4 linked regions of the Tamandua tetradactyla genome follow. The protein of the gene in region 1 interacts with the protein of each later gene in a pairwise test. Links are inferred from orthologs where the notes say so. Each region holds a gene or a part of one and is shown on either strand. Other genes may lie near its edges.

The links.
Region 2: the proteins of NUDT18 (region 1) and RAB3IL1 interact in binary tests that used the Homo sapiens proteins (3 or more experiments, as listed by UniProt). The two-hybrid records come from large-scale screens. The link is inferred for Tamandua tetradactyla from reciprocal best matches to the Homo sapiens genes NUDT18 and RAB3IL1.
Region 3: the proteins of NUDT18 (region 1) and HSD17B14 interact in binary tests that used the Homo sapiens proteins (3 or more experiments, as listed by UniProt). The two-hybrid records come from large-scale screens. The link is inferred for Tamandua tetradactyla from reciprocal best matches to the Homo sapiens genes NUDT18 and HSD17B14.
Region 4: the proteins of NUDT18 (region 1) and NADK interact in a two-hybrid assay, tested with the Homo sapiens proteins (2 studies listed by BioGRID and IntAct). The two-hybrid records come from large-scale screens. The link is inferred for Tamandua tetradactyla from reciprocal best matches to the Homo sapiens genes NUDT18 and NADK.

The regions. Positions count from the first base shown.
Region 1 is NC_135329.1:22,739,842-22,747,096, forward strand, and holds NUDT18 (8-oxo-dGDP phosphatase NUDT18), read right to left. Parts: upstream 2,947-7,255; 5' UTR 2,912-2,946; coding exon 2,750-2,911; intron 1,932-2,749; coding exon 1,718-1,931; intron 1,485-1,717; coding exon 889-1,484; 3' UTR 508-888; downstream 1-507. UniProt on the Homo sapiens protein: Mediates the hydrolysis of oxidized nucleoside diphosphate derivatives. Hydrolyzes 8-oxo-7,8-dihydroguanine (8-oxo-Gua)-containing deoxyribo- and ribonucleoside diphosphates to the monophosphates. Hydrolyzes 8-oxo-dGDP and 8-oxo-GDP with the same efficiencies.
Region 2 is NC_135335.1:13,053,368-13,060,310, forward strand, and holds the start of RAB3IL1 (guanine nucleotide exchange factor for Rab-3A), read left to right. Parts: upstream 1-3,934; 5' UTR 3,935-4,036; coding exon 4,037-4,188; intron 4,189-6,759; exon of another isoform or gene 6,760-6,818; coding exon of another isoform or gene 6,819-6,829; intron 6,830-6,943. UniProt on the Homo sapiens protein: Guanine nucleotide exchange factor (GEF) which may activate RAB3A, a GTPase that regulates synaptic vesicle exocytosis. Promotes the exchange of GDP to GTP, converting inactive GDP-bound Rab proteins into their active GTP-bound form.
Region 3 is NC_135342.1:12,213,022-12,220,227, forward strand, and holds the start of HSD17B14 (L-fucose dehydrogenase), read left to right. Parts: upstream 1-4,195; 5' UTR 4,196-4,384; coding exon 4,385-4,472; intron 4,473-4,906; coding exon 4,907-4,945; intron 4,946-5,022; coding exon 5,023-5,126; intron 5,127-5,616; coding exon 5,617-5,683; intron 5,684-7,206. Other genes in the region: PLEKHA4 (pleckstrin homology domain-containing family A member 4), read left to right, coding at 1,747-1,908, 2,702-2,769, 3,261-3,373, 3,663-3,922. UniProt on the Homo sapiens protein: Catalyzes the NAD(+)-dependent oxidation of L-fucose, yielding L-fucono-1,5-lactone, which rapidly converts spontaneously to L-fucone-1,4-lactone. Can also act on D-arabinose and L-galactose, with lower catalytic efficiency. Does not use NADPH.
Region 4 is NC_135328.1:223,211,725-223,218,940, forward strand, and holds the start of NADK (NAD kinase), read left to right. Parts: upstream 1-4,200; 5' UTR 4,201-4,300; intron 4,301-5,001; exon of another isoform or gene 5,002-5,101; intron 5,102-6,086; exon of another isoform or gene 6,087-6,264; intron 6,265-6,421; exon of another isoform or gene 6,422-6,610; intron 6,611-7,216.

The sequences.
Region 1 (7,255 bases):
ATTCAGTAGGGCCGGTGGAAGATGAAGAAAGGGTTTTGGTCTGGCTTGGGCTGAAGTTGTAAAAAGGCAGAGGCACAAGCCTGGGGGCTGGCAAATGACAGGGAAGGAATCTGAGCCCAAGAAGTTCAAGGAGAAAAATGCACAAGTAAAGAAGCAGGGGCAGACTTTATAGCTTGTCTCCCATCTGAAATTTCTCCAGGAAGTTCTCAGGGTTCAAGCAGTGAGAGGGTTAGAGTTGGTTAATAAGGGATGTTGTTCCCTCTCACCACCCCAGTCACATCCCTTCCTACCAGGTGACAGAAGGGCACCCCCCACACTCAGACCTCAGGCCTCCTCGTGAGCCGGTCTGTCCAGCCACCCACCCACCTGACCTTGGAGCCTCGGCATGCTGTCAGGGAAAGGCCTGGTGGCTGTCAGTGGAACAAGGGAAGCAGCTTCTCTTCTGACAACCATCCCACCTTCCTGCTCATTTCCTTCCCACGGAGACATTTAGGCAGCAAAGGGGAGGTAAGCGACACCCGTTTACTCAGCAAGGGACCCTCACTCGGAGGACCTCCCCCAGTTTCCCTTCCATGCTCTAAGTGCCTGAAAGGATTCAGATGCAGGCCTTTTCTAGGTGGGCACAGAAAATGAAGACTGTGTGCCAGGGCAGGGTCAGAAAGTCCCCACCTCCCTGACAAGGAGCTTCAGGGCAGTTGGGCCTTTGACTCCTTGGTTGGTTGAAGGCACTGTCCTTTCTGTCAAGAGAGATGGGAATCCCTCTGAGAACCAGGAGAACCCCAGTGCAAGAGGATCACAGATTTCCAACTTCTTGCCTCTTGGCAGAGGAATGGCGAAACCATCGTGGAAACACAGATGTCCAGCTTCTTGCCCGCTTCTGGCACCTTCCTATCTGTTGACTGGGACAACAGATGATTCCTGAAGCCTCTGTAAGAGCTGACTTTGTAGGTCTTCCTCCATCACCTTCCACCAAAAGAATTTCTCACCCCGAACCTTTGGGGGCTCATTTTGGATACCTGGGTTCCGAAAAGCCACTGTCACCAGCACATTTAGGCAAATGCCATCTGTATGGTCTTTGCCTAGATGCTGCAGTCCTAGCAACCCCTTGGTCTCCACTGCTAAGTGGTGCAGAGTCAGACATTCCTGTAGCAGCCGCAGGATGGCCATCTTGATGCCACCCCTCTGCTCCACTGGGGTGAAGCCACAGGCAGTGATGGGCAAGTGAGGCATCCCCACTGTACCCACCAGCACCCACACAGCTTGGACACTGGTAAAGGTGGCCACGAGCCGCTGGCAAACCAGACTGCAGGGAAGCTCTTGAGGCAGAATAAGAGGGTGACTGGCTCGCTGGCCATACTGGGCAGCTAGCTCTACCAGGTGCAAAATGTCATGGGCTCGCAGTGGAGTGGGCAGGGAGGTCCGTGGATACCAGCCAGCCTGCAGGGACTCCGCGTCTGCCTCCTTTGAAGTCTTAAGAATTCCACCTAAGGGGAGATTTGGAGGGCAGAGGGGAGGAAAGGGTCTGTGCTGAAAGAAGTGCCAGATCTGGCAGAATAAAATGGATACCCAGGGAGGAGACCGAAATTCTCAGGGTGGAATCTGGGCCATGCCAGGCTGTGGAGAGGCTCATCTCACCAAAGGACAAGCAGGCATGAGATGGGGTGGGAGTAGGGGTGTCAATCGTTTCCTGCTCCCACTGCCATTGGGTGGGACATACCTGTGGCCTGAGCCAGGAATGCAAAGCGGATCCAGGAGAGGCCCCGTTCCTCCACAGCCAACAGGGTCAGAGGCTCACACTGCAGCCCGGCCTCCTCCTTCACCTCCCGTTGGAGCGCCTCCACGATGGTCTCCCCTGGCTCCATTCTCCCCGCGGGTAGGTACCACGACCCGCGGCATTCTCTCTTGGCCTCCTGGATCAGGAGCACCTCATCCTGAGGGGACACAGAGGATCCTCACCTCCCACCATAGAGCACAGCACAAGCAGAGGCCCTTCCTCTCCATATGACAGCAACAGTCAGCCCTGAGGGATACCCTCAAGTTGCTGAGCTCTCCAGGGGACAGGGCTGTGTGTGAGGCTGTTTCTTGTCTGCAGTTGGGCCCTCTTTGGATTCAGAGACTTCCATTTCAGGAAGGGGCTGAGATTCCTGGGGGCTGCTTCCAGGGGCCGGGGATTAGACCCCAGGGTGAGGTTACCATGTCTGTGGACGTGTCACTGTGAATCTGTCGCCTCCCCAGATGGTTTACCAAATGCTCGTGTCCAGCCGCAACCCAGCCCAACCATGGCCCTGTCCCTTACTAGCTGTTATTAGAGGAACGTGTACAGGCATCAGCACCCAAAAGAGCACTGGACAAGGAGGTCAGACGTCTGAGTGCGAGCGTGGGCTCCGCCATTCCCATCCGGAGGATGCAGGGGAGCTCTCTCAAGCACTCCACAGACCTTTAAGAGGGCCGAGAATCCACCGGACACTGTGCCAACCTCCTGGCAAAGAAGGAATAAGACAGCCCTCTGCTCAAGGGCTTGACACGCCAGGAGCAAGTTCTACGAAGCTCCTGGGCCTCAGTTTCCTTCTCTGCATATAGGGATAATTGCAGGGCTGGACCGCCACCAGGCTCAGGGGCAAGTGTGAGTGAAAGTGCTTTGCTAAATTACTGGAAAGCGCCCCGCACAAGCAAGCGGTGGGTGAGGCCACTGGCGTTTCCGAGGCCGGGGCGGCGGGCTGGCGGCCCCGGGCCCCGCTGGGACGCTCACCTGCTCGTTGAGGAACACCGCCAGTACCACGTAGCAGACGTTCTTCCGCAGCCGCACCGGCGCCGGCGGCTCCTCGGCGGGCACCGAGTCCCAGCCCTGCACGCGCAGCCCCCGGCCCCCCAGCACCGCCGCCAGCGCCCCCGCCAGGCCTTCCGAGGCCATCGAGGCCCCTGCGGGCGGCGGGCCCGCAGTCTGCAGAGCGGGCTGAGTCGGGGCGGAGAGGTCGGGGGGGGGGGGGGGGGACGAGGGGGCGAGCGAGGGGAAGGTGGGCGGGGGTCCGTCTCCGTCTTCCCCTGACGATTCAGTCCGCGCGCGCTCGCGGACGCGGAAGAGCCGGGCGAGCGCTCGCGGCGGAGAGGCTGCGCGTCACCACGGCCCGCCTACATAGGTTGGCCCGCGGCGGGCACGGGGGCGGGGCCAGCCTGGAAGGGGACGCGGCACCCCTGCGGGGACCCGGGCAGACCCCTGCCCCGCCGCCGCTGCTGTCCCACCCGCCCTGCTCTGTCTTTTCGGACGTCTCCCGCCCCCGACCTCGCTGGTTCGGCTAGCGCGCGCTGGTCTGCGGGGTTCTGACGGCGTCGTCATCCTGCCTGCGGGGCAGCGAGACGCCACCGCGGCCGGCGACGGTGGCGTCACAAGCCCGATGACGTCACGGAGGCCCGCGGTTTGGACTGTCCAGATCGCCTTAAACATGCGATGGCTTTGCCCCAGAAGATCACTTCTTAGATTTCTTTCTTCTTTCTTCACTAAACTGTATGGGATTTAACATAGCAGGGGGAACCGTAAGCCCCCGCTGTAGAGGAGATTCCCACTTAGTTGGCAAGATGGACATATACGTAGGAAAAGTCACCCCAGGGGTGTACGCCAAGGGCTAAGTGAGTGATGTGGGTATGAGGTGTGACAGGAGCTCGGAGGAGGGAGGGGGCACCACTGGGACGGACAAGGTGGGGCAGGGCTGAGGAGGGAAGGAGGGGATTTCAGGGACAGACTCAGAGAAGATCTTCAATCTGCCAGCCGAGCCGTTATGTTACCCCGCCCTCTGCCCACCGTGTATTTCCAGGTGGTTCCAGGCCCCTCTCCCCTGTAGACTGTGGGCCCTGCCAGGGCAAAGGGGTGTCTTGCTCTGTTTTTGCTGCCCTCCCATGGAGCACGCACAGGCTGGCACAGTGAGAGCAGGGTGTGGGCTGTTTTGGGCGAGTTCCTGCTTCTCTCCCAGCCTGACCTCTCCTCTGCAGAACTTCCTTTAACCTCCTCTCAGGACAGGAAGTCAGGGCCAGCTGGAATGAAACTGGGAAGCAAGCAAACTCTATGTGCCTCGCCCCGAGTAGGGGCCCCCCTTTTCTCTTTCCCCTCGTGCTGGCTTTGTGCACCTCTTGTTTTTTGGTGAGATTGGCTGTGATGGAGAGGACCAAGTACTGGCCTTGAAGCCATAAGGCCCGGCCACTGCTTGCTGGCTTGCTCTGCGTCCTCAGGCAGGTTATAGGTCTCCTTTTCCTCATCTGTAGAGCACCCTTTCCTTCACAGGGTTGTGGGGAGGGTACGGTGAGATGTGGAGAGGAGCTTTGTGGACCGTCCATTCAGGCAGAGCAATGCACCATCACCAGACTGCCCACGAAGCCTCCAGGCAGGGCCCTCCTGCGGCCAAAGTAGGACCTACCCTCATGAATGTGCCGACAGGGCCACTATAGGACTAGACTTGACTCTCAGAAACTGCAACCCCAGCTTCTCAGTCTCCACAGGCCCTTCTCACATCCTGCACTGACTGCGGGTTCCCAGGAGACCGGGTGCTGTGTTGCCCCAGGCCAGCTGGTGAATGCTGCCGCCCCAGCCATACCCAACACCACCTCACCTCCCAGACACCTGACTGTACAGGGTGGAGTCGGGACCCCAAGACTACAGAGTGACCTGTCAACAAATCTGCTGCCCGTGTGTGACCCTCAGTTTTCCCATCTGTGAAGTAGGGACAGCGTTGTTCCCAGACTCCTTCCTGCCTCCCAGGGATGATTTGAGTGAGAGTGAGGTCACGTCTGGGCAAGGATCTGAAGCCTGACAAGCAGCCTGAGATAAACAACAGACGGCCTAACCGCCTGGAAGTGCCAAGGCGGCTCCACTCCCCGCATCAATGCCGAAGAGGAAAAGCATTCCGCTTCTCTCCAGAGGGCCTCACGTGAGGCAAAGGAATGCGAAGCCCCTCGTGAGCCGTGAAGGGCTGCATGGGATGGGTGGGGTTTGGGGGTAGTCGGTACCCAGCCCTCAGAGGGAAACAACAATGAAATGGACTTTTCTCAAGGCATTGGGAGGACGAGAGAACACAGTCAGACTGGGTAACATGGGAGACACTGAGCAGAGAAAGAGAAATGCTGAGGGAGGGGGGCTGGGATAGAAAAACCCGGAGGCCGAGGGATGCAGCTCGATTCGTGAAGAGACCCAACTGGTAAAGATGGCCCCACAAAACTACAAAACCCCACAAAAGAAAAAGGCTTTCATCAACGTTTTCTCTGTGTCCTCTTTGCCCATGAGGGATGAAAACTGGCTGGGGTGGGTGGCCGCAGGGACGGTGCAGGGTTCCCAGCGCCCAAGATTCCCAGCCCGAGCTAGACGTTTCGAGGCATGCGCACAGGCACGTGCGTAGGAGCACGCATGCGCAAAGGCCCGTGACTGGCACCCTCAGGGACCGGAAGGGGCGGGGCAAGGTCAGAGCCGCCTACCCAAGAGTAAGGCTTTTTGCCCTGAAAGCCCACGTGAAGGCTGAGGAGGACAACGGTGCAAGCTCCAGGCCCTTCTGTGGAGGGCGTCGGGCTTCCAGATGGGCCCTGCCGCTAGGTTGGCCCCTCAGGGGTAGGGTCAGATCTTCCCCTTAGGCCAACTGTAAAAACAAGGTACTATTGGATCCTGTCATAAAGAAAGGACGTAAGTGGGAAAACTGGTGAAATCCCAAGAAAGTCTTTTGCTTCCTTAATAATCAATCTATCGGTGTCTCGTGGCTAGGTAAGGTGTTAACTTAGAGGAAACTGGGTGAAGGGTAAATGGGAACTTTATGCCATCTTTGCAATCCTTCTGTAAATCTAAAATTATTTCAAAATAAGTCTCCAAAACCTTACTTTATAAGAAAAAGGAAAAGAAGGCATCGGAGGTACATCCTATGAGCTCCCCGCCAGCCCTGAGGGTTCTGCTTCTTAAATATTTGGGTCAATGAGGAGGCCTGGAAGCAGACGGTGGACAGTGAGGAGAGGCCTGTGAGAAGCAAGAGGCTCAAAGGGCAGTCTGGGCTGGGATTGAGCCGGCCAGGCCTCCATGGGGGTCAGTGCCACCCCCTGCCCACAACCTGAGGCACTGGGTCACTCCCCACCTGGGCTGGCTTCATTCCCAGGTCCATCTCTGGAATAAATGAACATTGATCCATCTGCTGATTCCAACACGTCAGACCAATTATGCCTTTAATGGTGCTGTGACCCCCCCCATGAAGGATTGGGGGGGGGATGGGGTGCTCCATGTGAAGAGAGAGGCCCAGGGACTCGGTGGTCCCCATCCCAAATGGGAAAAATTAAGAGACCATCCTCCCATAGGAAGGACCTCGTGTCTTGGGTTCTGGGGTAACATCAGGACACAGCCAAATAAGGTGAAATCTAAGTAGGAATGGGTCATTCAGTGCTACTTGGAAGATGATCAGATAGAAAGTACGTAATGTTGGAAGGACAGAGAAGAGGGCAAGCTCATCTTTAAACTGCATTAAGAGCTGAGACGATCATGTAAACGAGGTGGCATGAGTCAGAAGATTTGGTCCAAATCCCAGTTCTGCCACTAAAATTGCTGAATGTCCTGGGGTAGTTTACTTAACCCCAGCCTGCCTGTTTCTTCTTTAAAACAGAAATAAATAATGTCTACCTTAAAATATTGATGAAGGATTAAATGAGATCATATTTATGTCAAAATACTGGTGTGGTGCCTACTATAAGTGTAGGAGTCCTCTATTTTTCTTTCTTTCTTTTTAATCCCACGAAAAAATGGAATTAACCTAATTTACCAAACAATGAAGAAACCTAAATTTCAGGAAGAAAGAGGGCTTGATAAATCGTGGCAAAGCCTCAATCGACTGTAAGCAGCCACTTAACATGACGCTTAGGTAACAACATAAAAAATAATTATATTAAGATAAGTAAATCAACTACAAAACACCAATTCAACCACATGTGAAATAGACCCTTGGGGAAAATACCAGAAGGAACTATACCAAAATGCTGATAGTGATCAGGCTGAGCATGCTGGAGATAGGCTTCCAGGTGACTTTTTCTTATTTTCTAAATCTTCTGAAAGTATATTACACTTGTAATAAAAAAATTTTATTTAATAATAAAAAAAATTCCCTGAACCACCACAGAAACAATTAGGTATAACAACAGTTGGAGCATTTTGCGATCTCAAGGGAAGGGGTGAGGGGAAGAGTAACACCAGAGGGGTCACAGGGCGTGGGCAGAGGGGGCCAGGCAGTCAGCTGTCTGAGCTGTG
Region 2 (6,943 bases), on another chromosome or scaffold:
CACTTACTTGCTCAAAAATGTTTCACAGCTTCCCTGGAACCTCCAGAAAAAAGTTCAAATGCTCTAGTTTGGCTTTCAAAGCTTTTCTTGATCCAACCTAAGCCTGTCTTTCTAGCCTTTTCTTTGGCATCCTCGACCTTAGCCTGAACTCCAGCCAAAGTGAATAATTTGCGTATATCTGTAAAACCCTGGTCTTTCTCATCTCCAAGCCTTTCTTCCTGCTGGTTCCTCTGCACAGAAGTCCCTTTCTCTATGTCTACATAGTTAAATCGTGCTTATTTATCAAGCCCCACATCCTCTAAAACGTCTCACCTTACCCATCCTTCCTGAAGGGTGAGTGGTGGGGGGATAAGAATAGGTCAAACCTGTATTAAAATCCTAGTTCTCTTCATTTGTTGGTTTTTGGGCCAAATCCTTTAGCCTCTTCAAGCCCCAGTTCTCTCATCTTTAAAATGAGAAGAGAAAGCAATGAAGGACGCCAGTTGGTGGCTGCGAGGGTGATTGAAGTCACAAACTATTGGAATTATATGTCAGATAATTATATGTAAAGATCCTTGCACAGTCCAGCCCCACCCTGCATTCCACGATTTTGGAAGGGAGTTATCAGCTGTCCTGGGAGGTCACACCCTCCTCTACTAGTCTTGTCTACCCCTGAAGGCTCGGCCAGTTCCTGAATTCCATTACAGTCTGAGATTTCCTGCTGGGGAAATGGGAGTGAGCAAACAGGTTCATCCTCTAGGAATCCAGTCCTGCAACCCAGGCACCTGGGAAGGGTCTCCCACACCAATTTGTTTCCAAAGGAATCCTCTCCCTCCCATCTTCATTTGAGCACCCATGGCTTAGTGGCTGGGAAATGTCTACTAAATCTCCAAAGGAATTCGCCAGCCCCCTTCCCTTTCCACCAGCACCCCCATAACATGATGATGAATCAAGTGGAGCCAGGATAATCTCCCAATTTTGAGGTGGGTAAACTGAGGCTCAAGCAATCTTCCACATAGTTGTGTCAAGGACTTGTGTGTCTTCCTCAGCCAGAGAAGAGGGTTCATCAAGGGGCTCCAGGAGGCCTGGAAAGCTGTGTTGGGGAGTCTGTGGGAGCTCTGTCCCCAGAGCAGGAATCCTGGCTTCTCAGAGTCCCTACCCCTTTGTCCAAAAGTGGGTTACTGTCCTCTCTCAGAGGCCAGCAGGGAGCTTGGTGTCTGCGTATTCTCTGTGAACTTAGAGTACCGCACTTGGGGAGGTTTTTTGCCTGTGTTGTTTGGGGGAAGGGCAAGGATGACGATTCACTGGCTGGGGTATGTTTTGGGGGCTGGGGGTGAGGGTAAGAACTTCTTGCACAGTGAGAAGAGTAAGTTGAGAAGCAGGAGCTCTGGATTCTAGCCCCCTTTTATACCTGGCATGCTGCTTCACCTGGATGATGCACCTGGCCACTGCATACCCAAATTTCCCCATCTGTAAAATGGGGCTGATGGTAGATGGAACCCTCTCTGTCCTGGGATCTTAGCGCTCTCCAAGTTCTCCCCAAGCCCAGAGAGTCCTTGGGGCCTGACTTCATCAGGCTGGACTGACTCAAATCTCTGACACCATTTAACCGCCTCCACCCTCTGTCCTGCCCTTCCCCAAGGGGTCTGGGCCTGACTCCAGCTCTCCCTCAAGGTGGGGCTGGGCAGGCGGTGGTCTGGTCAGACCTTGGGGCAAGGGGGTAGGTGGGGCCAGACTCACGTTTGACCTCCCGAGCCTCTTCCCCTCTCCCTGGAGCCAGCATCCTCTCTCCTCCCTCCCTCTTGAAATATGAGCCCAGGGATCCAGGGAGAACTCTCACTGCAAAATATTCCATCCGGTTGTCCAAACATTCCGCACAGCTGCGGAGGGCAGGGCTGCCAGAGTCTGGCTCTGGGGAGCCCTCGGGCTGTTGTTTGCATGGAAATGGGGGAGTCCTTACTCTGAGCACCAGCTCCTGGCTGAGGGGGTCCACAGGGCTGAAGGCCCACCCCCAAAGGAAGAGCCCCCAGCCTCCTGCGGCTTGCCCAAAGGCCTCCCTCCGGGGTGCCCAGCCCCTGGCAGGGGGCATCGAGCTGCCTCAGCCAGGTGGGCATGGCTGCCCGACGCCTGCTGGCCGGGAGGTGGCTGGGCAGTGGAGGCGGGGGGCCGGTGGGTGACCTTGTGAACCTCCCCTCGTGACTGGGTTCATGGCTCAATGCCACCGGGAAGGGGTGGGGGCCAGGGGAGGGCGGTGAGAAAGGACGCTGAGATAGCAAACCAGGAGAGGACTCCCAGCAGCAGCTCTTACTGGCAAGCAGTCCCAGGCCCGGCTGCCTCTTGGCTCCCTGGACGGGTCTCCAAACCTTGGTTTCTTCATCCACAACAGGAGAGGGTTGAGCCTTTTCTGACTCTGCTTTTTTCCTAAGTCATCACAGCCAAGGCCAAGGTCCTCACAGCTTCCCAGCTAACCAGCTGTCCAGGAAGTAGCAAGTTTGATCTCATAGAGTCCCCGGAGCAGCTCTGACTCAGTTTCCCTCCAAGGAGGCTGCCTGGGGCTTGGCAGGAAGGCACCGACTCTGACCAATTCTGCCACTAGCTAGGCTAAGCCCCTTCCCCTCCTGCCATGTCAGGGCAATGGGGAGACACCCCCCGCCCCCCCGCCCCCCACCCCCACCTCCACCCCTTCACACATCCTGTTTTCCATTAATTGTTTCCAGGTGGGCCCAGAGGCTGCCCAGCAGAGGAAGGTGGAGGGACGGGAGAATTTAGCAGGGGTTCAGCGAGGACCAAAAACAGGAAGCGGGTGGGAGCAGGCCATGGAAAATTCGCTGCCAGGAAAGGGAGGCCAGCATCTGGTTTGCATTAGGCTGAGAGCTTCGAAGCCCGAGTGGGAGATATTGTTATCCCGGGCGGGGTGTGACTGCAGATCGGAACTGGCAGCTTCTCCGCAGCAGCCGGCCCCAGAGGCTGATGGGAAAGGAGAGGGAAGGCACAGGAGGAGGGACCATCAGTCCACACTGCGGCAGGCACTTCACCAACCTTTACTTCTTTGATCTTCACAACTTCACAGGAGAGAACTGTTCCCATTTTAGAGATGAGGGAACTGAGTCCCAGAGAGGTTGAATAACTCTTGTCCAGAGACTGGCACAACCAGGATTCGAACTCAGCCTAAAGGAGAGAGGGTGGCACATGCAAACCATCTCAGGGGTGGATCAAGGTTGACCGTGGGCCAGGCAAGCGGGCACTGAGAAGGATTTGATAAGGAGGGTGGGCCAGCCCTCTGGCCAGCCAGGGTCATTCCATTCTCATGGGAGTGCCCATCAGTTCCATGGGCTGACCACCTGTCTGAGAGCTCTAGCCCGGCACCTGTACAAGGAAGGAAGCAATCCACAGGGAAGGCTTCCTGGAGGAGGAGGCATGAGAAAAGGAAAATTCATCAGCAAGTGGGAGGCTGCAGACAGAAGAGATAATGTGAGGAAAGGGGGTATGTAGGGTGTGTTTGGGCGAAGCAGCTGGTCTGGTGTGTCTTAGAGGGTGGGGAAACTGAGGCACAGAGAGGCTTACATGCCCAAAGATTCACAGTCTGGAAGTGGGGTTTAAATCCAGCCTGTCTGACTCCAGGCCCGTGTTCCCTGCACACACAACCCCCACCCTTTTTCTTGGTGGCTAAAAGTTTTAAGGGGATTCCGAGGCTCACAGGGGCAAAAGGGGCTTGCCCGAGGTCACACCAGCTGCTAGTGGCAGGGCCAGAACAGGACAGGATCTTTCCAACGTGCCAACTTGGGCAGGTCTGGCTGAAGCCTGGGGCCCCAAGGAGGTAGTGGAAAACCTCCTCCTAGCCCTAGTCTCTGCAGGGCCTGCTAAGCCATGTGAGTTAATAATTATGGGGTTTCAGGAGATAGACAACTATCTAGGAGGTGCCTCCTTCACAGGCCGCTGCTCCTCAGAGATAGCAAAGGTTAGTGTGAGGCTCAGTCTGGGAGCAGGGAGAAAGCTCCGGCCATCTGCCCGCCTGGCAGTCTGCAGAGGGACCCTGCAGGGATCTGGTCTCCCCAGCATGGACAAAGTGGAAGAGCCCACTGGGTGCCCTGCCCGAGGGTCATGCCCCATGTACCTGGCCATCAGTGCAGGGACTGTCCGTTATGCCCCATTGGGCCGAGGCCCTGCCCTGGAGGGCAACTTGGGAGAAGAGCACTGGGACAGAGACAGGTGAGCCAAGGAGCTGGGACGAGGAGGGGAGGGGGATCTTGCCACTCTGCTGGGGTGTGGAGGCCCCAGAAGGTTGAGAAGCTGGACTCTGGACTGGGAGCTGGCAGAGAGCTGTGAGGAGTTTCAGGAGCTTCCTATAAGGGTCAGAGCCAGGGCTGGTGCTGAGCACCTTGTCCAGCTTGCCTGTTGTATAGGGGTGTAGGCTGAGGCTCAGAGAGGGCAAGACACTCATCCCGGGTCACACAGTTTGCTGAAAACAAACCTAAGTCCAGAACCAGGACTGAGTTCTCCAGGCTGGCTATTTCCAGCTCCTCATTTGCCTCCAAGGCTGGGTTGGGGGCCAGGGGTGTTTAGTAGCTCATAGGCAGAGAATATACGTTTACTTCTATCTGCCCCGACTCCTCGACCAGGTTCCTAGTAAGTGCTCAGGAACCCCTTGTGGCCTGCATGCATGCAGCAACAGCTTCCAGTGAGCTCTGGTTGTCTTTTTGGAAACCTGGCAGTAAAGGGTCTCAGCCCCACCATCCCTGGCTGTGTGATAACAGGCAGGTGCCTTGACCTCTCTGAGCCTGTTTTCAGCTGAGGAGTGGGGCTCTCTGGGCTGCTGGGACAGATGAGGCTGGGGAAGCCATGGTGATTGGATGCATAATTGATAGTATACTCATGGTCAGTACCTGGATAGCTGACATTCTGCTTCTGGGGTCATGACCCCACAGTTGACCTTCAAGGGCTCATAAAGGACCTTCCCAGCCCACCCTTTCTCCTGGGGTTGAAGACTCTTCCTCCAGGGCGGACACCTCCTCCACCCCTTATCTCCCATGGTCTGGGCTCCCATAACTTGGACCAGGGCTTATCTACCAAGTCAAGACTTGGAGGGTAAGGGACATTTACTGGGATCCTTTTCTCTTCTTCTCCCCCTTCCCCTAGATAGTGTACAGAGAAAGAGGTAGGAACACAGGCAGGTGCTCAAGACTTTCTTGGTGAAGGATTTGCATCTACAAACGGATGCTGACACCTGTTCTTGGCCAGGCTCTGTGCTGAGCCAGTGGCAGACGGGGGAACACAGGACTGAGGCGCTGGTCCCTGCCCCTAGAAAGCCACAGTCATGGAAACAATCGCCCTGTAGAGCGAAGGGCATAGGAGATCTGGGCTGAATGATTCTGGAAAGCCAGAAGGGATGGCATGGAGGGCTGCCCAGGTTGTTCACTGCACAAGGTGATGGACAGCTAAGGGAGGGAGCGGGCAAGGCCTGACATGCCACCTGCCCTCCACTCCCCAGTCCGATACGCTGGTCTGGGCTGTGCTTACTTGGGGAAGGGACACAGTTTTCTCTTCGGAACAGAGACCCCACGGGCTTGACAAGGTGCGCCCTGACCAAACGGTGGCCCTGGAAGTGGGGGCCTTTGAGAGTATGTCCCCCAGCCCTCATCTTTCACCAGGAAGGGGGCTAAGGCCTATGTCTGCACTGTTTCTCCTGGGTCCCCAGAGAGACCCTTGCCTGGTCCACAGGTTGTGCTCAGGGAGTGGTGGTTGAATGGATGGATGAATGGATGACACATGTCCCCAAAATGGAGATGGGACAAACGTAAGCCTGGGGCCCAGCATCTGGGGGCCTAAAAGAGGACTGCCCAGAGTTCCGGGGGGCATCTGTGGAAGGGGGGTGCCGCTCCCCCCAATACCTCCACCCACAGGGAGATGGGTGGGAGCCAAGGTCCCTCACAGGAAAGAAGAGGGATTGTGCTCTAACTGGATCCAGCCCGAGGCTGAAGCGGGAGGCTGATGGTCAGGGCTCAGGTAGGTGGGACAGAAGGACTGCGGGACAGGTAGACCAGTGGTCTGGGATTCAGGGAAAGGCTTTGCAGAGGATATGAGACCTGACGTGTGTGTGTGTGTGTGTGTGTGTGTGTGTGCGTGCGCACGCATGCGTGTACACTGCATTGTGGAGGGCAGATGTGTTGAGAGGCAGAAGAGGAGGGGTCCCTGTGGGGGGAGGCTGGGTAAGGCGGTTAGGGCAGAAGGGTTACTTCCCTCCGACAAGAGCTCCTAGGATAGGAAGGAGAAAACTCGTTTTGTTTTGGGGCCTGTCCCCTCTCCCCACCAGGCAGGGTGTGGCACAGGCACAGACCAGGGAGCCCATGGAAGGAGTGGCAGGAGGGCAGGGAGAGGGGTGGGCGGGGGTCCGCTGGCCTTAAGTGACAATCCGCGTGAGGATCGGGCAGTCGAGGGTCTGGGAGCCACAGCAGGTTCTTGAGCTGGAGGCAGCCCAGGAGTGCTTCTCCGTGCTGGGGCGCGGGGTGAGTGGAGAGGAGTCATCAGCTGGGCACGTCTGACAGCCGCCTCGGCGGCGAGGCGATGCCCCCACCCCCACCCCCACCTCGGGCCGCTCCCCCCACCCCCTTGGCCACGTGACCCGCGGAGGGCAGGGTCGGGGCTGAGCTGGGGACTGGGGACGGGAGGGCTGGGGCCCGCCCAGACAGACAGACAGGCGGCCCGGCAGGACTGACCCCGCGGCGGGGCTGCGGGACCGGCCGGGGCGGAGCCGGCGGCGGGCGTGGACGCGGCGCGGGGCGGTGCAGTGAGGACGCGGCGGCGCCGGGGAACGGACGCCCGGGCGGCCCGGAGGCGCCGCGATGTGGAGTGGGTAGGTCCACGCGCGCTCGCGGCCCCGCGCCCGGCTGGGAGGAGAGGCTGGGGATTCCCCCCTTCCCCCACCTCCACCCCTCCCACCCCAGCTGCGTGTGCGCTCCCGCCCCCC
Region 3 (7,206 bases), on another chromosome or scaffold:
ATGATTCCGAGACCTGGTGCTTGAGTTCCACGGGGAACAGAGGCACAAGTAGCATCCTCCTGCATATCAGCCAGGCGTGGGTGTATGGCAGCCAGACCCTGGCACTGTGAAATTTTCAAAGGACAGTTGAGCTGGATGAGAGAAAAGGTTTGCCCATGCAGAAAACGTATGTTCCTGGCAGAGGCGAGGAGGCGATGACCAGGAGGCCATCTCTCAGTATTGGAAACAAATCACTCAATTTATTAATTTTCTTGAGCAAAACAGAGAGGCAAACTCCTGTCACGTGGGACACAAGGTTAGATGGACTTCCGGGGGCAGAAGGCTTGGGAACAAGATTGGCCTTAAGGTGTACAAGCTGTGTCTGTTCCTGATTGGCTGGCGTTCAACAACGTAGATGGCCCTGATTGGTTGGCTGACAAAGCATGTGTTTACTCCTGATTGGCTGGTATTCTGAGGCATGTGTGGCCCCCTGATTGGCTGGCATTCAGAGGCGTGGTCAGGGTCGGATGTGATTTCTGGGTGAAACAGATTGAAAAATCATTTCCCGCGGTGTCTTATCGTGGAGACAGAGCAATCAGTCCTTTCCTAAACATACAGAAATTCTTTCATTCTCAATGGTCTCAATGGACGTGAATTGTCGGGGTGGCTCTGAACAACGCTTATTTGTGTTACGGGACAAAGTTTGTGGGTTCTTTTGCCCTTGTGTGCAAATGGCCAATTCCTGAGACATTGGGGTTTCTAAGAGAAAAAGAGTTTATTGCTAGGCACGTATCAGGAGAGCAGATGACCTAACTGACCTAAAAATCTGTCTCTCTGAACTGCAGTAATTCTGATAGTGTTAGAGTACCAAAGGACGGGCAGGTTTTCGGATGATGAGCACAAATGGCTCAAGATGATGGGGTTAGAGATGATCTAATTATTGAGCATGTGCAGACTGATTACATGCTTACCCACAGAACTTATATAAAAAATGGTGATCTTCATATACTGATGGGCGTGATTTTTAGTATTATAATGAGGCATAGGCCACAAATGGGTTAAAGTCTAAATTACTGTGCAATGTCGGGCAGGCCCATTTGGGGTAGATCCAGTCTCCGTTATCGAAATAACCTTGGGCTTGGGGTGGGTTAGTTCTGGGCTGACCCAAGACCTTTCATTAATAAACTTTAGGGGCTCTCTTTAGTGATCACAAAACTCTAAAGTAAAAAAATTAGATAAACGGGTACAAGTGAAGGTTAGTCATCAGGTTGTTTATGATCACAGGGGCACATTATCAGAGATCAAGGCAGCTGCTTTACAATTCAAAGATTTCAGGTATTTCCCTTTGTCTGCTCTAAAATGCCAGAAAGTAAAAAGGAGTATCTATATAATATAAATTCAGTAACCACAATCATCCCTTCAATCCTAACTTCTTGGTTACATTTGGGGAACTGCCCCTCTCTTCTCTCCAAGCCCATGGGATTGGGGGCTGGCCACGTCACACCAGTAGGGGATAAGCTGGGACGCCCTCCTTGCAGACAGCAGCAACCAGTGCTCTTCCCTCCTGTTTTGAGAATGAAGGAAACACTGAGGGCAAGCATGAGCTCGTCCAGTCATCTCAAGGCAGGTCCCCAAAGCTGTCCTGATAATTTAGTTAGCCAATAAGCCCTCTCCCCTCGTTTTGGTTGTGGGGGTCCTGGGGAGCCACGGGAGGGCTGTGAGCGGAGGAGGGGCAGCCGCATCTCTGGGCATTGCTCGCCTCCCCAGGGCCCCCTCGCCCGACCCCGCATGAGTGCCCAGGAGCAGCTGGAGCGCATGCGGAGACACCAGGAGCGTGGACGGCCCAGCCCTCGCCCCACCTCGCCCCGGCTCCTCACCCTGGGGAGGACGCTGTCCCCAGCCAGACGCCAGCCTGATGTGGAGCAAAGGGTGAGGGGAACGGGGTGGGGCAGTGGGGAGTGGGGTGATCGTGGGTGCCTCTGTGTCTGCTCTGAGCCACAGTTTCCCTCTCTGTAGAATGGGAATGCTCCCTACCCCCCTAGCCAGAACTGGGCTTCCAGATTCACCCCAACTTGTACCCGTGCTAAAGTCTGCCTTCTGGCTCCCCTCGGTGGAGTGAAAGTGGGGAGGAGACTGAAATAACAGCTCCACCTAAACCACATTCCCCCTTCAAGGTGGGGGTCTCCGGTCTGGATTCCAAGCCCAGCTTTTCTTCTCAGCTGCTATGAGTTGTCAAAGGGAGAAAAAAGAAAATCATCCAAATTAGGAAATTGATTTTATTTGGGCTGTTGCAATAGGGAGAGCACCCCAGATCCAAAGATGGGAGGGGCTCCATCGGCAGGGTGGTTTAACTTTAGACTTTTATAGGGATGTGAAGACAAGTTATAGGGGAAGTGATTCCACAGCTGTCAATCCTTCAGCTAAACAGGAAATGGTTATCTCTGTATCTAGCTAGCTTTGGGGGGCAGAAACAGTTCAGCGGATCGTTTACGAAATAAAGGATGGGGATTTGGAGGGGCAGTAGGGGGGGTCACTAGGAGTTCTAGCTAAGTCCTGTGGGGAAGGGAGCTGTTTCCAGGAACAGGAGTGGATGGGGGCCACCTTAACTCACCTCTTTTCCAGGGCTGCAAAAACAAAAAAAAAACACAATAAATTATAATTTTAAAAAGCCGGCCCCGATTTTCCACGTAAGGATAATTCTAACGACCCGATTCCTTCCCAGCCTGGCCTAGACTCCCTGGGACAGTCGGGAGCCTCGAAATGGCTCAGAAGCTCGGGGTCCTGGAGTAGGTGAGGAGTGGATGGTGGCGGCAAGGGAGCAGGGAAATTAATTTGCCAAAGGGGAAGGGAGTACCATCATTACTATTTTAAAATTATTTTTATTGTGGAAACATGCAAAATGACATTTCCCATTTTAACCACTGGCAAGTATACAATTCAGTGGCCTGTCATTAAGATGAAATTCTCCCGAGTACTGACATACAGGTGGCAGAATCTATTAAAGACGCAGAAGTTTCTGAGAGAAAATCAGAAAGCCCTGGCTCTCCGGTGAGAGCTGCAAACTTGTCCAAACTCCGTGGGTGGATTTCCCACCTTGCCCCTCCTTAGAGGAAATCGGCTTCAGTTTCGGACGCCTGGCTTAGAAATCCCCTAACCCACGCGTGGGACGCGCCCAGTTAAGGACCTGCAGAGACACATCTAGTGAAGCACCCGCGGGGAACTTCCGCTCCCACCACAGCGGCGAGTTGGACACGCACCCCCAAATCTCCCCTTTTTCCTAGTCCGAGGAACACCACCCCATACTTGCCCACGTCCGAAGGTCACCGGGAGCGGGTCCTCAGCCTGTCTCAAGCCCTGGCCACTGAGGCGTCACAGTGGCACAAAATGATGACAGGTGACGCGCTGGGGGCTGGGACCCCTGGGATTTAGGGAACAGGGAGTGGGAGGCCTGGAATCCTAGGTCCTATCGAGGAGGGGGCTGCGGGGAATGTTGTCTGGGTGAGGATATGGCCGGATCTTGAGAGTCCTAGGTCCCAGGCAGTGGTGGAGCTGGAGAGACCCCCGAGTGTAAGGGAGGAGGGGCTGGGGGGGCCTGGACTTGGGGGTCTGGGGGCGGAGGGGCTGGGGCCGGGACTCCTGGGTCGTAAGGTTTGCCATTCTCGTTCCCCACCCGTCCCCTCCAGGTGGAAACCTGGATGGTCCGGGAGAACCTCTTCCATCCCCGCCGCCGCCGTCGGACCCCACGCCGCGGCTGATGTCTCCCCCAAGCTCTCCTCCCGCGGCGACTTCCCGCCCGGCGGGGTCCAGGCGGCGGGGTGGTGGGCGCGGCGGAGGCCCCGCCCCCTGGGAGCCCACGTGGGCAGGCGAGGCCGCGCCCCCCGCCCTGGCGGCGGCTGAGGGGGCGTGGCCTCTGCGGGTCACTCTGCTGCAGTCGAGCTTCTGAGCCCCGGGACGCCCCAGCCAATCGTGGGGTGGGGGGCGCGGCCTGGTCCCCCCGCTGTGGTGTGGCCGGGAAGGGGGGCGGGCTCTGCACCCGGAGTCTGGTTTTCTCAGCACTGACCAAATTCGGAATAAAACTTTGAACTTTTGGTCAACAGTTTTCTTTCTATCTTTTTGGGGGTTTGGCGCAGGAGTGTCTGGAAAGCAAAGCTGGAGGCCGGGACCCCTGGGTCTGAGGGGGAGGTTCTGGGGGCCCGGACCCCCGGGTCTGAGGGGGAGGGGCTGGGGTCGCACTTCCGGGTTTCCACCTTTCCGGCACCGCCCCCGAGGCCGGCCCGCGCGGATCCAGCCCCTGTTTAGCACTTGACCCGACGCCCCCCAGCTCCTCCCCGGATTCTGGGGTTGGAAGGGGGCCCAGAGTGAGGGACAGAGCGAGGGACGCAGCGAGACGGACAGTTGGGCCGGGATGGCCGCGGGCGCGCGCTACGCGGGGAAGGTGGTGGTGGTGAGCGGGGGCGCGCGCGGCATCGGCGCGGGGGTCGTGCGGGCCTTTGGTGAGTTGGGGGCTCGTGGGCTTTTGGGGCCTGGGGCTAAAGGTGTGGGAAGGGGGCCTCCAAGCCCGGCCTGAGGACCCGCATCCAGTCTCCATGGCTAAGGACAGGGTGCCGGCGGTCGCCTGGGGCCAGAGGTTTTGGCGGGGTGTTCAAAAGTTAGTTGGCCCTTCTCGGGGTCTCAGTTATGGTAGCTACAAATGGGTGGCTCGGGGAAGATGGGTTGCCCAGCCTTGGGGTTTACTCTGGAACCCAGGGGTGGAGGAAAGGAGCCAAGGCCTCGCCATGCTAGGGCCTCTGCCCTTTGTCCTTTGGGATCACGAGGAAAACACACGGGGGTGGGGGGGGGTTCTGCCCCACTGCAGGTGGCCTCAGGGGAGCAGCAGAGGCCATTGCCAAGGTACAGGCAGGTAATCAGTTGACTTTTCTATTCTCAGTGGAGAGTGGAGCCCAAGTGGTCATCTGTGACAAGGATGGTGAGGGACCCTCCGCCCTTGCCCCAGCCTTCCTCCCTCCCTCAGACCCCCGGGTCCCCCAGCCCCTTCTCCCTCAGACCCGGGGGGTCTCCCTGCAGAGTCCTGTGGCCGGGCCCTGGAGCAGGAGCTGCCTGGAACTGTATTTATTCGCTGTGATGTGACTCGGGAGGAAGACATGGCGGTAAGCCTGATTCCTGCCCCTGCTTCCTGTCGCTAGCGGCTACCATCTCATTTTCATGTCTTTCTCCACGAGGCTGAGGCTGTGGCAAAGCTGTCTCCTCTTCCTTCCCTCCTCTCCTCATTAAATTCCCCAAGGCATCAGCCCAATGTCATTTGCCCCTCCAGGCTCCACTGATTCTGCTGATGTCTCTCTGGAAAGTTCTCTTTTATTTCCGTCTTCTCCAGGGCTCTTATCACAGTTATCAGCTGCGTGGAAGTGACTAAGTCCCTCACAGTGAAGGAATTCCGTAACAATGTTTCCTCCCCCACCCCTCTCTCTGGGTCTCTGCCCCCTCTCCCTGGGTTTCCGTCCCCTCCTTTTTGTCCCTGGACTGACGATGGAAGTCTGCGTTGAACAGTCCGTTGGTATCTGACAGCCCTGGCGCCCCCTCACCGCCAGCTGTGGGGAGCTCCCTGGCCCCCGGCCTCTCACAGGACACCTTTCCCCACAGACCCTGGTTGGCGAGACCATCTGCCGCTTTGGCCGCCTGGACTGTGTGGTTAACAACGCTGGCCACCGTGAGTTGTGAGGTTGGGCCTTCCCCAGTGCCAGCCAACCTGCCGCCCTTCTATCGCCTCCTGTGCCTCTGTTTCCCCTTTCCCTGCCCCTCCTTCTCTCTATCCATGCTGGTAGAACAATGCAGCTATGGGATTCCCCAGGCCTGGACGCAAATCCTGGCTGTGTTCATCCCTGCTGTGTGCCCCCAGGCCCGTGTCTTCACTTCTCTGTGCCTCAGTTTCCATATCTCTACAATGAGGACAATAGTAATAATCATAAGTGTTTCCTTATAGGGTTGGTGTGAGTACTGAATGAGACCCAGCCTTGAGCCTGCCCCACTTACATTCCATCACCACTGTAGCTGCTCCCTGCCTTGTAGCTTCAGTCTGCCCATCTGTGAAGTGAGGCCCATGGCCTTTCTCTTAGCTGATGACAGCAAGGCTGCCCCGTGGTGCATGGTTTATAGGACTTGGTAAGGTGGCTTCGAAGGGAAATTACCACTGACTTCATGACTGGCCTTTGTAGGAATGCCTCAGTGTGGTAAACCGGGGCTCAGAGAGGTGACCTGGCTGGCCTGGCATCTCCCTTGTCAGCTGGGCAACTTTGAGCAAGTGACTCACCCTCTCTGGGCTGTATCTTCCTCCTCACGTTGTTGTAAGGGTTTAAAGAGATGGCGGTTGCTACTTTGTCCTTTCTGCGTCCCTTATCCCTTCTACAAATACATATTGAGCAACTACAAATACAGTACATAGATCTCTATGTACGTACATATGTACATCTCTGTGTCTCTATTGACAGAGAGGACAGGAACATGACAAAGTGGTGGCAACTGATGCCATGAGACAACTTCCTATCCCTGGGCTTTGCTTCTATCTCCCTGCCCCATCCTTCCGTTTGGCCCCTAACGTTGTCTTCAGATGACTCAGTTTCCTTCTTTTCCCACTTCTTATCTTTCCCATCATCCTCTATCCCCCCCCCCCCACCTGTTTGTCTTCTGGCTGTTGGTTTTTCTATCTCTCTTCCCATAGTTCCCAGATTCCTCCTATTTATTTAACCAACATGGTTGCAGTACAAACTGTCAGGTACAAATATTGACCCAGGAAATTTCTAAGCCCAAGGCCTAGATGTTACCCTCATGGAGTAGGTGTGGAAATTGAAGCAAAGAGAGGGGAAGTGCCAACCCAAGTCCCGCAGCCAGAAAGTGTCAGGGCTGGGGTTCTAGTTTGCTAGCTGCCGGAATGCAACACACCAGAGATGAATTGGCTGCTAATGAAAGGGGATTTATTTCGTGAAAAACGTGTCGTTCTTCAGAGGAAAGGCAGCTAACTTTCAACTCAGGTTCTTTCTTATGTGGGAAGGCACAGGGTGATCTCTGCTGGCCTTCTCTCCAGGCCTCTGGGTTCCAACAACTTTCCCCTGGGTGATTCCTTTCTGCATCTCCAAAGGCCTGGGCTGAGCTGCGAGTGCTGAGATGAGGTATGCTGAGCTGCTTGGGCTGTGCTACGTTGAGCTCTCTCATTTTAAACACCAGCTGATTAAATCA
Region 4 (7,216 bases), on another chromosome or scaffold:
ATTTTAAAGTCAGTGTACTGCAAGGAAGCTGGATGCCAGGTAGATACTCTATTAAAACTGTGCTGTTATTTAAGATGTAATAAAGCAGTTTGACAGGAGGGACATGGGTGTGGCTGCTTATTTGAGGGCCATTTGGGGTTCTGGAGCAGTGGGTGTTCTCAGCCTCCCTGTGCCCTGTGGCGCAGGCACCCGCTTGGCCACTCCGGCTTATTGCTCCTGTGTCTTTGGTCCACATCACAAAGAATTCAGAAGTGGAGTGTGTGGCTCCTCTGGGAGGCCGCCAGGGTGCTCAGCATTACAGGTCCTTGCGGAGAGGGTCCACCAGCCCTGGCCTCCGACGGGCATCTCTTGCCTGGGACTGCCCTTGCGCCTGTGCTCTCCTGTGCACTTCGCCACCCCTTTCTCTTCCTGTACCCTCCAAGAGACCCACACCCCGAGGACGCGCTCCCAGGCTGGACAGGCTCCTTAACAAACTCGGCCTGCATCTTACGGAGGAAATGTGCGTCTGCTCTGACCAGGGCAAAGCACAAAACCGCAAGGTGGGGTCAGCGCCGTCCGTGCACCCCTCCCAGGCCACCCCCACCCTTACTTTCTGGGCCTAGCCACACACATTTCTTAAAAAACTTACATATTCACTAAGGTCATAAGAAGTAACAGTGTGATCTCCATACATAGCGAAAATGCTCCAGTGGGCAGTGGTCCAGCCAAAGCCCGAGGTGCCTATTGGAGGCCCCTGCCACTCACCCCTTTTCCTGCCACAGCTCAGCAGCAGCAGGGGCTCTCCTGGGTTTGCAGGTCCCCATGGGGACCCCAGCCTCCGTCAGAGCAGCACCTGCCCTCCCCTGAGGAGCAGCTGCGGCCTGGGGGCGGCTGACCCGAGCTGCCTTGGGCTGCTGGGGTGGGAGTGATTGGCAGCTGAACTGTGCATTTGCCTGCCCTCTCCCCCACTTCTCCTTGAAATAAATCTGCTCTTCATAGACACGTGAATTCTCTGCAAATTCTAACCCTCCCAGCTTCCTCCAGGAGGCACCCGTGCTGGGAGCATCCAAGGTTCTCCCTGGGCCCATAGCCCTGCAGGCCTTGGGGCGCCCCACACCGCGCTGCAGTCTCTGCCAAGGGCAGGCAGCTGGCAGTGTTGGGAACGAGGGCTTTCGGCTGAGTACTGCCTGGGGTTTCACCCTTCAGGCCTGAGACACAAACCAGGACCTGGAGTCCCCCCAGGCGCGCCTCTCAGCTGTCCCTTCCAGCCTTCTGCCCTTCCTGTGCTGGCCTGGGGCACACCTGGCAGAAAGCACCCAGCCCAGGTGGCCCGTGGGCCCAGACGGGAGCAGCCCTCACTCTGCATGTCCCCCGGTGGCCCCCACCAGCTGGGGCCACTCCCTGCTGTGTCCAAGTGTGGTGGCGGGGCAGCTGGAGATCACATTCTTTTGGGGCCTCCCCTGGGGTTCGGGCAGGACCTCCACAGGGCAGCGCTGGCCTGGGCACCAAGAAGGGCAAGCGGGTCCCCCAAAGTGCTCCTAGCTGCCTCCGTCCTTGGCCCTGTGCCCGTAGGAGCGCCCTCCCACTCAGGACAAAGGGGGAGCCCCTGGGAGTTCAGTCCATGGTAAGGCCAGGTGCCCAGGGACAGCAGGGAGGGGAGCTGTGGGACCGTAGCGGGTGGGGGGGGGCGTGGCGCCCTCTGGTGGCTGGGCCTGGGGCTGCATGTGTCCCGCGTTTCTACACCCCCACCCCCAGCACCGCAGTTAAGTGGGGACACGTCTGGCTCTTAGTGCTGCCTGAAGATGGCAGTGGGGGTCCCCAGGGTGCCGGCTGCAGCCTCAGGTCCCTGTGTGGTCAGGGCGGGGTTGGGGAGCAGCCGTGGCGATGGGAGAGGACAGGGTCCTGGATGTGCAGGGTGCTTGCTGGAGGAGTGTGCTCCACTCCGGGCACTGCGTCCTGCCCACGTCTGCACCAGACTCTGCCTGGCTGCCTCCAAACGCTGTCCTTGGCTTCCTGGCTGTGTGACCTTCAGCCAATTACTGAGCCTCTCTGTGCCTCAGGTTCCTCACAGAGGGGGAAAAAATGAGGCTAACAAAAGTTCTTCTTTGTGAGGATTCAATGTGAGTTCTGACATGCTGCGTGGAGGCAGAGGTGACCAAGAGGGCCCCTGCCGGTCTCCACGCTATGCACCTGGTGGGGACGGTCACCACCAGGCCCTGACCTTGCTCCTTTTCTCTCACTAGTGATACTTCTTGCCTCGCTGCCTCATCAAAGGCGAGTGCCAGGGGCATCTCTGATGAATCCAGGGTGTGCCTGGCAAAGGTGGCATATAGGAAGAGCCTCACCCTGCCCCCCAAAAATGAGAGCCTGACTTGGGGTTGGACTTGGTCAAGTGGGCAGTTCTGGGTCCTGAGTCGAGCAAAGGTCAGGTTGGGGACATGGTTTTCAGGGGCTGGAATGGGGGCTGGGCCTGCTGGCTGCAGGAGGAAGGCTGGGGGATGGCCGAGATGGCAAGGAGAGCCACAGGGAGCCCTGGTCACTCAGCCACCCAGGCTCTTGGTTACTTCCTGTTTGCCCAGCAGCCTCCTTTCGCCTCTATTGACCCCAGCCAGGCACAGTTGAATGAACTTCCCTTGCAAAAGGGAAAGCTAGAGCCCTGCCCCCTCCCCTGCACACACAAGCCAGGGGCACCCCAGCCCTCTGCCGCAGGACAGCACCCGCCTCTGGGCGAGCAGCCTCATCCAGCGCCGCCCTCCACAGCCAGGTGCCTCTTCTCCCCCACCCCACCTCTCCCTTCTGTCCCCCACGGCTCAACCCGCAAGAGGGGGTGCACAGGTTTTGGGGGTTCTGAAGCACATTGGCGCGCCATCTTCAAGGAGAGCTTATAGAATGCCGTCCCATTAGAAAGTCCACAGCTGCCCTGTGCAATTGCAGCTTAGCTGCCAGGACCCCCAACCCCCGCTGTGCAGGGAGGATGCCTTCCTAGTCCCGGGCCCCCGAGGCACAGGGCCCACATGCGCCCGGCCGGCCTTCATCCGTCCCCAGCAGGCGGGGATTGGCCTTTGGACTCAGCCCAGCCAAAGCCACCTCTAGGAACCTTCCAGATGCCCCAAGACTGGGTCAGGGTGACACGCCGTGCGCTGTAAGCCTTCTGCAGGGGTGTGAGCTCCGCCTGGGATGCCAGGGTCCCGCTGGGCAGGGAGGAAGCTGCACCCTCCGGGCCTTATCCCAGACAGGACACCTCCCTGCCCGCACCCTTTGGTTTCCCAGGACACCTGCCCAAGTACCCTTTAGGGGGCCACAGTGTGACCACGGGTAAGTGACACAGGCAGGGCTCTGCCTGCAATGGGGTGGGCCTGTGGGCCGGCCCGCCCTTCAGTGGGCGCCCAGAGCTGCCTCCCGCTGTGAGGGTGGCCGGTGGCCCCTTTGGGGAAGCGGTCAGGTTTACAAAATACCCAACCCCGCCAGCTGCAGAGCTTGAGAAATCCCCTAAGTTCCCCACCCCTGCCCCACCCAGCAGTCCGGGCACAGGGCCCTTTGAAGGCAGACACCTGAGCCGCGCCATCCAGGTCGTCCCTCAGTGTGCCTGGTGCTGTGACCGCAGGAAATGGGGGCACAACTCGGCTCCACATGCTTGGGCCAGGTGCCCCGTGGGAAGGAGCACACCATGACCTGCCGAGACAGGTTCGTACAAAGGGAAAGAACATCCAAAGTGGGGATTGGCACTCAGACAGCGCTGCCTGGCTCCCCCTCCCATGGTGACCCTGCCTCAGTTTACAGCCCGGGCCAGGGGCAGCTGGACCATCTGCCCCCTTCATGCAGGAAGCCATCGGTTCAGCCCCAGGAGAACCTGCTCCTGCCCAGATCCGGGAATCCCCAAAGTTGACACTCGGGACCTCCGCGCTTCCTACTCCTTCCTGGTCCTCCAGCGCATGGGGCGGGACCCCGCTCGAGAGGCTCCTTGGAGGGGCCAGGCCCAAGGCCCCGCGGGCCTGTCCTGCCCGGTTCTAGCCCCAACCCGGGGTGCCGAAGGTCGCCGCGGGCGGGGAACCCGGAGACGGGCCGCGCCCCTCGGCTGGCCGGGCGGGAGGTTCCGTCGCAGCTGCACCCGGTTGTGGCTGCCCAACGTGCCGGCTCTAGGCCCGGCCACGCCCCCGTCCCTACCCAATTACCGGCGCTCTGGGTCACCTCTCCTGAGCCCCCGAAGTCCGCCCACCCGCGCGGGGACCGGCCGGGGCCAAGGTCACAGTCCGAGGCGGCGGCCTACACCCTCGGCCGGGCCCAGGAGGCGCATTCGCGAAGCGGCAGCCGCAGCCGCGAGGTGAGTGCAGCGCCCGGGAGGCCGCCCCGGCCTCGCCGCCGCCATCGGGGCCTGCCCCACGGCCCGGACCCCTCCCAGGCCCCCCTCCCTCGCCGGGTCCCCACCACCGCCACCAGTCGACCCCTCCCTCTCCGACACCGCTCCTCCGGGCCCCTCCAGCCGCGGATCAGCCCCACCTCCTGGCGGACCCCCTCCTGCCTGCCCACACCCTCCTAGCTGACCCCCAACCTCCTGCTGACCCCCGCTTCCTGACTGCACCCCGCACCTCCTGTCCGTCCTCCGCACCCCACCTCCTGGCTGCCGCAGGTCCCCCACATTGCGGGCCGCCCCCTCCCTCTCGGACACCGCCCCTCCGGGCCCCCTCCAGCCGCGGGTCAGTTTCCCCTCCCGGCTGCCACCCCCCTCGGGCCGCCCCCCTCCCCGCCGGCCGCGCCCTCATCGGAGCCTCCCCTCCCTGTCCTTGCCATGCCCGCCCTCCAGCCCCCCGCCCCGGCCGTCGCACGCCTCCCCCAGCCGGGGACCCGCGTCCAGGGCGCCCGTCGGGGCCGGCGTCTCGGCGCCGCCATCCCACATGCGCGGCGCGGGCGGGCGCGGGTTGCAGTGCGCATGCGTGTCTGGCGCGCCTGCGCGCTGGGGCCGGGCCGCGGCGGCGCTGCTGCTGCTCCGCGGGCGCCGGCGCCGCTGAAGGGGCGGCCATGGGGCAGCCGGCGGCCGCGGGGCCCGGGGCCAGGTAGCGACGGCGAGGCCCGCGGGCTCGGCCGGGCATGTAGGCGCCTCCGCAGGCGACCGCGGCAGCGAGCGGTGAGTGCGCGGCCGGCCGGGGGAAGCTGGGCGCTGCGGCCGCTGTGTCCCTCCCGCTGCCGGCGCTCGGCTGGGCCCTGGCCGCGTCCCCGCAGCCCCCTCGGCCCCGCGGACACGCGGAACCCGAGGTCGCGCGGTTTCCGAGACTTGCCGAGCGCCGAGAGCGTACCTGGGACGCGCGGGGGACCCGCCCAGGCCAGACGCCCGGGGCCCCGCACCCCAGGCCCAGCGCCCCGCACCCCAGGCCCAGCGCCCCGCACCCCAGGCCCCTCATCCCGCACCCCAGTCCCCTCACCCCGCACCCCAGGCCCCTCGCCCCGCACCCCAGGCCCCTCGCCCCTCGCCCCGCACCCCAGGCCCTCACCCCGCACCCCGGGCCCCTCGCCCCGCACCCCAGGCCCCGTGCCCCGCACCCCAGGCCCGGCGCCCCGCACCCCAGGCCCTTCGCCCCGCACCCCGGGCCCCTCGCCCCGCACCCCAGGCCCCGTGCCCCGCACCCCAGGCCCTCACCCCGCACCCCGGGCCCCTCGCCCCGCACCCCAGGCCCCGTGCCCCGCACCCCAGGCCCCTCACCCCGCACCCCAGGCCCTTCGCCCCGCACCCCAGGCCCGGCGCCCCGCACCCCGGGCCCCGGGCCCCGCACCCCAGGCCCTCACCCCGCACCCCGGGCCCCTCGCCCCGCACCCCAGGCCCCGTGCCCCGCACCCCAGGCCCCTCACCCCGCACCCCAGGCCCCTCGCCCCGCACCCCAGGCCCTTCGCCCCGCACCCCGGGCCCCTCGCCCCGCACCCCGGGCCCCGTGCCCCGCACCCCAGGCCCCTCACCCCGCACCCCAGGCCCTTCGCCCCGCACCCCAGGCCCGGCGCCCCGCACCGCGGGCCCCTCACCCCGCACCCCAGGCCTCTCACCCCGCACCCCAGGCCCCTCATCCCGCACCCCAGGCCTAGCGCCCGGCAACCCAGGCCCCGGTCTGGTGCATCAGGGTGGGCAGCAAGGCCAGGCCGCCACGTGGAGCTCTTATCTCACCAACTTTTGGGGGGGAACCCTGGCAGCCTTGAGCGTCTGGGCTGGGGGTAGGTCACCTAGCAAGCAGGAGGGCGCCTTTGGTGACCGTGGAGACTCAGGGAGACCCGTGGAGAGATGGTCCATCGAGGCCCGACCTGGTACGGAATCCTTGGGAGGGAACCCCAGACCTCAGGGCAGTGGAGTCCAGCACCATGGCCACTGGTGGACCCGCCCGGTTTTCCTTGTCACTGGTGGGGACAGGGCGTGCCCTGCACGCGCCCGAGTCCTGCTTCCTTTTCCTTCCTCCACTCCAAGTGCCCCTTGGCTTTGATTCGGAACAAGTTGCTTCTTTCTTGGACATTTCCTTCCTGGATTGGAAGGCCCTGTTTCAGCGAAAGAGTGGCTCATTCATCTCGGCCCTTGAGGGAAACCATTTCAGTCTGTGTGTTTCCTGGGACTTAGCCTCTCTTCCCCACAGCCGGACCCTGGGCTTCCCTGAACTTAGTAAGTTATTTCAGCACTGCTGGGTGACTTCAAGGGCACCTGCCCCAGAATCTTTTCTGCCCATATCTCTGGAGAAGTCCTGCCCCAGCGGCTTCAGCTGCTCGTGGTGTCCCTGCTCTCGGCCGGGCTCACCCTTTCCCCGGGACGTGCACGCAGGGCCACCCCCCGGGAAGCTGCCCCTGGAGCTGGACAGTCAAGATGTTTGTGTTGCTCTCCTCTGAGCGCAGAGCACTTGGCTTAACGCCTTCAGTCTCCATGAGCACACAATCCCCAGAGAACTAGTCGGGTTATGTTGCTAAACTTTCTTGACAGTTCTGCTTTTTGGGTCTCGGCTGGCTTTTCTCTCTGGAAACAATTGTTATAAGTAGTTAGATTTCCAGGCCAGCACAAAACCTGTTTCATTCAGAGTAGCAGTAGGAGGGTCTTGGAGACAGCTGGGAATTACAAGCAGTAATTCTTCTGGGGTGGGGGCGGCTGGCAAATAAGGGGAAATGGTGCTGGTAATTAAGTAAAACAGAGAACAGTGGGATTTGTTTGATTTAATTTAGTGCTTGAGAAAAAGTAGGTTTAAGTTGGGGAATGAAGAGGCTGCCTTGTTTTTTTTGT